Drosophila melanogaster: one gene and its partner. The protein of the gene in region 2 purifies or fractionates together with the protein of the main gene of each other region. This does not show direct contact. Each region holds a gene or a part of one and is shown on either strand. Other genes may lie near its edges.

What was found.
Region 1: the proteins of Strip (region 2) and Tbcd purify together in Drosophila melanogaster (affinity purification with western blotting, with the first as the bait; one study listed by BioGRID). This does not show direct contact.

Annotation. Positions count from the first base shown.
Region 1 is NT_033779.5:2,145,549-2,149,679, reverse strand, and holds the start of Tbcd (Tubulin-binding cofactor D), read right to left. Parts: upstream 2,163-4,131; 5' UTR 2,034-2,162; coding exon 1,091-2,033; intron 1,034-1,090; coding exon 1-1,033. Other genes in the region: CG11723 (uncharacterized protein), read left to right, coding at 2,656-2,794, 2,867-3,780.
Region 2 is NT_037436.4:3,326,941-3,330,540, reverse strand, and holds the start of Strip (striatin interacting protein), read left to right. Parts: upstream 1-1,669; 5' UTR 1,670-1,671; coding exon 1,672-1,842; intron 1,843-1,914; exon of another isoform or gene 1,915-2,098; coding exon of another isoform or gene 2,099-2,290; intron 2,291-2,357; coding exon of another isoform or gene 2,358-2,681; intron 2,682-2,987; coding exon of another isoform or gene 2,988-3,188; exon of another isoform or gene 3,189-3,198; intron 3,199-3,600. Other genes in the region: CG14961 (uncharacterized protein), read right to left, coding at 1-399; Gtpx (glutathione peroxidase homolog with thioredoxin peroxidase activity), read right to left, coding at 2,099-2,290, 2,358-2,681, 2,988-3,188.

The DNA of each region.
Region 1 (4,131 bases), on a different chromosome or scaffold from region 2:
TTTTTGTCTAGGAACGTTATTATTAGTTCATTCAGCTCCGCAACCCGTTGGTTGGAGAGGTAAACCACTTGGGGATCACTCTTTTCCTCTAGTTTCCGTAGGGTCAGTGTTATTTCTCCCATGGCTAAGACACAACCATGCCGGCAGTTAATATCGATGGTGTCAGTTTTTGCCAGCAGTTGCGGCAGCACCACAGCGGCCATGTACTCGGGCTCCCAAAGGGATAGTTTGTGCAGGGCTTTGGCTGTCAGCTCCCTTATAGCCGAATCCCAATGGCTTACCTTATGCTGAACTAGATGGTTAATCAATGGTTCCCTGTACACCTCAAACTGTGCAATGTAGTCACTGATGTTTAGATAGGAATTCTGCCTGATGCCCACGGAATAGAAGTCCGTCGTGGTGGAGATTTCGATTCCGAAGGGAAAGTTGCCCAGGCGTCCCACACTTTCCTGAAAAGCTGCCGAGGCAGCCCGCCTGCAGTTCACCTCGCGGTCGAACACTGCAACGGTCAGCAGGCCAGATGAGATTTTGTGCACAAATGGCTTCACATCATCCGGATTGTAAGCCCTGGCAAATGCCCAGCACATGTAGCAGGCTGAATCTCGGATGTGTTGCCCCACCGACATGTAGCCCTTCATCTCGTCGTAGAAGAGCGCCTGCATAAGGAGGGGTACTAGCTCCTCCAATCGATGTGGCAGCAGCAATCCCCTTTTTGCCAGTTCTGCCAAAGCCAGGCATGCACCATGCCAGGCCTCGTGGGGTTCCAGCGGGTTGAGTATATCAATCACAGACCCTATAACCTCATCGGCCAGCTCCTTGGGAAGGCGATTGGTGACTCTGCCTAATCCTTTGGCGGCGCTCCAGCGTATATCGTTTCCTCCGCTTCGCAGTGCCTGGAGCAGCTCCTCAATCACCTCTTCTATGGCATCGGGGACCACTATTTCCTCGCCTTCCTCCAGGGATTGCTCCAAAACAACTGGTTCACCTCCTGCCGCAGTTGTCTGGTTTAGATTGGTGGCCAGTGAACGAGTGCCTAAGAAAACACTAGTTTATTATGGTTTCATGCGTGAATAACAAACCCCAGGCTTACCTCTTTTATACCGCCAGCTGGCAATGCGTGGCTTCAAATGAACCAATCCAATTCTCTGGATGATTTTTACATAGTTCTTGTACTTGAGAAAGTCGTTGTCATCCTTGTACTGACAGGAAGTGATCCACTGAAGAAGTTTGTCCGCATAGGGCAGAAGATCTTCTCGCTTTCCGTGCTTTAAAATAGCAGCCACTGCAGCCAGTTGGCCGAACTTGACGTTCAACGTGTCCGCTTGGTGCTGCTCCATAATCCAGTCCAGGAAGCGCTCCAGATATAGATCCTTGATGTCACTGCGAATGAAATACTTGGCGGCCAGGAAAGCAGCCATGCTGCTGCATGTGTCGTTGGAGGACACATAAAGCTGGATGAGCTCGAAGATGCGATCCATCTTGGTGTTCTTCGACTGAACATGGTTCACGGGACTGCAATTGGTGGTGGGAGCAGATGTGGAGGTGTCATAGGCATCTAGTCTCGACATGTGAAAGGGATTTAGGACCAGGATAGACATCCACAGGAGCAGTATATAGCGCGTTTCCCACTGTTCGAACTCCTTGGGATTTTGCTGACCCAGCAAATCCAGAACAAACTCCAGATCGCTCAGTTCGTGTGGCATAAACTTTACCAGGACCTTATAGGTGCGCACTTTGCAGATGATGTAGAGATACTTGAAGGCTGCATGAAGCTCTCCAGTGTCTAGATCTGGCTTCCGAATCTTGTGGAGCAGTTTGCCGAGTAACTCCTCCAAATGTGGATCCAAGAGGTGTGGCTGCTCCTGATATCTAGACAAAACCTGGGCGTACTGCTCGAACTCCCTTTCGAAGGTGTTAGCGGCAATGGATTTGATGTTGTCGATCATCTCCAGCACCTGCTGCAGTTCGGTGAAGTGCTCCAGCGTGTTTGCCGGCAGGTCCTCATCCTTGCACTCTTCCACAGAATTCGACATGGCTGCTTGACGATTTTATCGAGTTTTAAACCCACAGCCGGCAACAAAATCAATTCGTTTGTGAATCATTTGTTTTACTGCCAGGGTTGCAACCCCAATGAAAGTATGCTGGTATGACACCACGAACTGACTCGTCTCTTTCTTACTGTTTTTCGACCAAAAGGGTCTTTATCTAATTCTTTATCTTTAAACTAACATTTTTTTTTGGAATCAAATGCAGTTATTGTACATTGTGCTCTTTAAACGTTTGTAATAAATCCTACTAAATAAGTTCATCTAGTGTCATAGTGCCTTTGGTGTGGCCGTTTTGCATGCACCTGGTAATACCGTTAAGCAGCTGTTCGACCAGAGCTGCCAGGCGCAATTAATCATTTATTTGTAGTGGCAAGCGAAACTGCGAGATTTAGCAAGAGCAAGATTTTGTATATTCCACCAAAACGCAGCAAAGCAAGCCCGAATTTGGGATATTAAAAGTGTTACCGTCGGGTCGAAACCGCTCACACATTCGTCGAGTTTGCTGTGAGCGCGGTCATTGCTGTGAAAATTGCGTTGAAAATTCGGGATCCGCAAGTTTCGGAGCATTGCATTTGTGGACAAACCGCAATTTCTGGTCCACTGCGCCATGAAATCAGATAACTACCGTCTCATACAGGAGGTGTCCAAGCGGCGGTGCCTGTGGGACACAAACATGTCCATTTCGTACCGCAACCAGGACGCAGCTCTCCAGTGGGCGAGTGTCGCGCAGATAATGCAGCAGGATGGTGAGTGGCGGATAAACGAGGAGGGTTTTATATGCCTAGGAAACCTATAAATAACACCTGGTCATTTTGCAGTCTCGATCTGCAAGAAACGTTTCAAGGGAATGCGGGACAGCTACCGGGCAGAGGTGCGCAAGATACAGCAGAAACGAATCGAGATGTCCCACTGGCCATACTTTCGCTCACTGGAGTTCATGCGCCAAATCTTCGATCCGGAGGGCCTGGTGCCCTTTCCACCAGAGCCCTTCGTGATGAACACCGAGCAGCCGGAAGTCTTCGAGCCCACCCGACTGGTTGACTTCGCTATCGATTTGGATTTGGACAATGATGACTCTGTTGACTTTGAAATCATCGAGGACATATTTAAGCGGGAGCCGTCAGTGCCCCAGGACTCTGGCTCGGATAAAGGCTCGCTGATCAAGCCTTTGGATTCTTCATCCTCGGGCGCCCATCGTTCCGATCAGGATCTATCGCCCACATTGCCCATACACTTGCCGCGCCACCAACAATTCCTGCCACGTCCACCCCCGCCTTCGAAGAGAGGACGTCGGAGGAAAACTTCGCCGTCTAACGATGTCCCCTTATTGAATGGATACGCCAGCCAGGCGTCAAAGTCTACCACTGAACCCGATCTAAAGAACGATTCGGACTTGAGTTTCTTGATGAGCATGATGCCGCACGTAAAGTCTCTGTCAGCCATTAGCAATCTTAAGTTTCGAATGGAGATGGCGCGCGTTCTGGTGGAACTCAGGGAGGAGGATCAGCACATGCTCGCGGCGGCGGGACCCGAAGACGTTCTAGAGCGCAGCATGCCCAAACTAACACCAGCCCCGAATTCCAGTTTTGCCACTCAGCTGGAGAAATCCCAGTACCATCTATCCAATTCCAGCTACCAAATCAGTAGCCGAAAAACACCAACTTCGTTTGACTATGTCGACAGCTCCATGGTTGAGTGCGATGTCAAGATAGAGAATGAGCCTCTGCTATGAAGACTTCATACCAAATTTTTACGATTTTACATTCACCAATAATTCTCTAAGGAGTATTCCTTTCATATTGTTACAAGTCTTAGATGAAACCCTACTCATACATGAGTAGTTGTTTGGCAAAATGCCTATCATAAGACCATTATCCACACGCTGAATTGCTTGTAAAATATTGATTTGTATTGTCCAATAATTTAACCATTTTGACTCCGGGTATGCCATTCGCGGGCTGTTTTAAAGCAATTTACACGAAATGGAATATACAAACAAAATAACAGCTGATGCTGATTAAATTTTAAGGTTTAGCTTATCATTGGGATGTCATCTGGAAGGAATTTTAATGGATTTGAATTG
Region 2 (3,600 bases):
CTGCTGGTGGATGGAGGGGCGTCGGCTGTGATTCCGGCGACGGGGCAGTCGTCCGTTCTTGGACATAGGTGACTGACCCTGAGCTGGCGGCTGCAATCCCAATCCCTGGCGAGGAGACAGCTGCTGGGGCTGCTGTTGCTGCTGGGTTTGAGACACCTGTTGCTGCTGTTGTTGCTGGGACTGGGATAGCACCTGCTGCTGTCGCTCCTGGATGCGTTGAAACTGCTGATCCTCATCCCTCTGAGGACCCGCCCTCAGCTCGGCCGGAGCCATACCATCGACGTACTTCACATCCGCCGGATTTGTGGCCGGTTGCTGTGCAATCGAGATGTTGACATGGGTGGCCGCATCCACCTGGCTGCAGGCCACCAGCAGGAGCACCAGCACTCCTCGGAACATCCTGTTCTAATCCTGTTACCAATCCGAAGTCAAAAATCCTAGCTGTGTGTCCAATCACTGCTGACCACCACCAAAGCTGACCGCTGTCTGATCGATAGTGGAGTGTGCTCCGCATATTTATACGGATTTTGGGTGGATTCGGAATCAAAATTGGGGGAGCGATCGCATTCGCAATCGCGATCGCGATCAGTGTCAAAGTCAACTGCAGCACTGGGAATAGCAATGCATACACACTATGGCGACAATAGCTTCGATAGCTTCGCTACTGACCTGGGCCAAACTGTTTAGGGATGAGTCTCAGATGCTTAACCTAGTTCTACAATTAAAGGCATTCGAGCGATCGCATTTGAGCGATGATGCATTCAACAAATTGCTGTCATCGCTTCACACTTGTGTGGCACGCACCAGCACTGAGAGAAAAGGGGCCTAAGTTCGTTCATATATCACAGATATATCATTTAATATGCGATTTTATTAAAATAATTTCTTGGGAAAATTTGGGAAAAGTTCTTTCGGGTAAAAGAAGCTAATCCAATAGAGATCTTTAATTTCGCTCCAGCTCATCAGTTTGGTTTTTCTCCGCCTGATCTCCACTGCGAATTTCGATGGCATCCGTAAATGGTGAGTGCAGCATTTTCATGTAATTGTCGGAAGGTCGGAGTCGCCGCTCCATTGGCAGCTGGTTTGAACTTGAAATCCGGCCGAGACGTTGAACTGCTCCACTGGAGGAGGAGCAGCTCGAGATCGGCGCCCCAATGGGCTGACGGATTCGCATTTGTTGGTTTTGGGGGTGCTGGTCAGGCAAACTTGCGCAATCGAAGTTTGGCGAGCATTTGGCGAACACTCGGAGCACTCGAATTCGGAAAGAAGGTAAAGGTTAATGTGAAGTACTTTTGCTTCTTTCTGCACTTAAAGTAACCACCAATAAGGTCAAATTGGTAAGGGGGAATATTTTAAAACAGATATTGCCTACTCACAGAAAAAGTAACTTTTCTTTCAAAAATATCTAAAGGATATTAAAGCAAACTTGTTTTGAATATCATTATAGAGAAAGGCAAATATGGGTTTTAAAATCTAAAACTCAGACTAATTGATCAAGGTCCTTTCAAAGATTAATTAGTTTTAAAACAATGCGAGCTTTCGTGGTCATTAAGTTGAACAAGTTTTCAAAAATTGTGCTCTACCGTTGAAAACATCATACCTTTCTTTTGTGAATTTCGTTTTTCCCTTAATATGACATCTCCAAATTTCACAGTCACCTAACAAATATATATGGCTTGGAAACAGAAAAATAAACTCCTTTTTGACACTTGTAAAAACCAGTTAAGCTGTGGCGCCGTAAACGCCAGATCCTCGATGATGCAGTCCATCCAGTCTAGGATCAACGTGCTTAACACCATTGCTGCTTCCAGCAAGCGGATTGAACGCGCCAGCGTTGACACGGTAAGTCCGAATTGATACAGTTCCAACTACCGATCAAAGTACGTGCCCGGCGTCGCCAAACACCCAGGTGATAGTGTGGTAACCACGAATGGCGTTTATTATGTTTGCGGGTGGGAATCAAAACCAGTAAGGAGTAGACAATATATATACCATGCGGTGCATGTGGCCGGCCACAAGACTATCTGTGGCCAGACGGTTACAAGCTAAAGCTACGCGAAAACACAGTCCAAAAGAGCAGCTAACGTCTAGGGCACATCTACAGCAGCTTTTCAATGTCCTTGGCGATGTCCATGGGATCGGTGGTCGGGGCATATCGGTTGATGGGCACGCCCTCCTTGTTCACCAGAAACTTGGTGAAGTTCCACTTGATTCCGCTGCCCAGGGTGCCGGTCTGCTTGGCCTTTAGGTATTTGTACAGCGGCGCCGCATTGTCTCCATTCACATCGACCTGCGGGGGTGGGGCAAGTTTAGTGACTCGGTCTACAGCAATCGGCTAGCAGCTTTAATAGTCTTACCTTGGCGAACACCTCGCCGATGTCAGCCTTGGAGTCGCGCAGGTGGCACACCATGGCCTCTCCATCGGCCTCCGGCATCTGGGACCCAAACTGATTGCACGGGAAGTTGAGGATCACCAGGCCGCGCTCGCCGTACTTCTCCTTTAGATCCGTCAGCTTCTCGTAGTTGTTCTTGGTCAGGCCGCACTTGGAGGCGATGTTCACCACCAGGACCACCTTGCCCTTGTACTTTTCCAGGGAAACATCGTTGCCATGGGTATCCTTCACGGTGAACTCGTAGATCGAGGCGGCGTTCTTGTAATCTCCGTTAGCAGACATGTCGATCTGGAAGCAATAGAAAGTGGGAGTTAGAATTGGGTAATTACTAGTGGCTGTGAAGGCTTGGGTCGATGTTTTGATCAAGAGATATAGATATTTATAGCCTTATCTTCAATCGGGGTATGAAACACTATATTCTGTATCAAAATCGACCCAGGCTACGCGGTTCATTGCAGTGAACAGGCAACAGAGAACAGAGAACAGAGAACACAGGCAGTGGCAAAGGCTACAACGTTTAGTTAGGCGCAGAATCAAGCAACTGAGTTAGTCAACGGGTTAGGATCTAGTCAACTAGCAATCAGCACTACTCACGGCAGCTGCTGTGGAGTGCTGGGCGGCTGAGGAGATGGCGTTCATGGGCGTGGCCGCACAGCTCACGGGAAGCATGATGGTGCAGAGGCGAAGGCACTGCCTCTGACCGCGACTCAGCTCGAGGACGGGGCCAGGGGTCCGCCTCATCGAGTAGCACCTGAGGGCCTGGCGGGAAATGTTCTGAAACTGCCTGAGACTCATTCTTTAAATGCTGCAAATAATAACCGGGCAGAATGTTCAAATTTAGTGAAAGCTTAGGCAAGTGAAGGAATTACTGGTGTGGATGTGTACGTTGTGTATCAGATCGAACAACAATCGTTTCAAAACAATTCAAATGGGAAAATATAAAAATCAAGTCCACATTTCTACTGATTAACGAAATAGTTAAGTAGATAAGAGCAAGTAGTAAGTAAAGTAGTAAGATAGCTCAAAGCTATCTTATTTCCGAATAAGAAAGTGTGGAAATGTATGTGGTGTATAGATTGTATTCGACAACCCGACGACAAACATCCAAGATTATTTCACGTTTTGATAATGGGTTTCCTAATAGTTGTATGTTGTTTCATAGACATTTACGAGGGTGCTATCAGGCTTCTGGTTACAGTGACGCTGC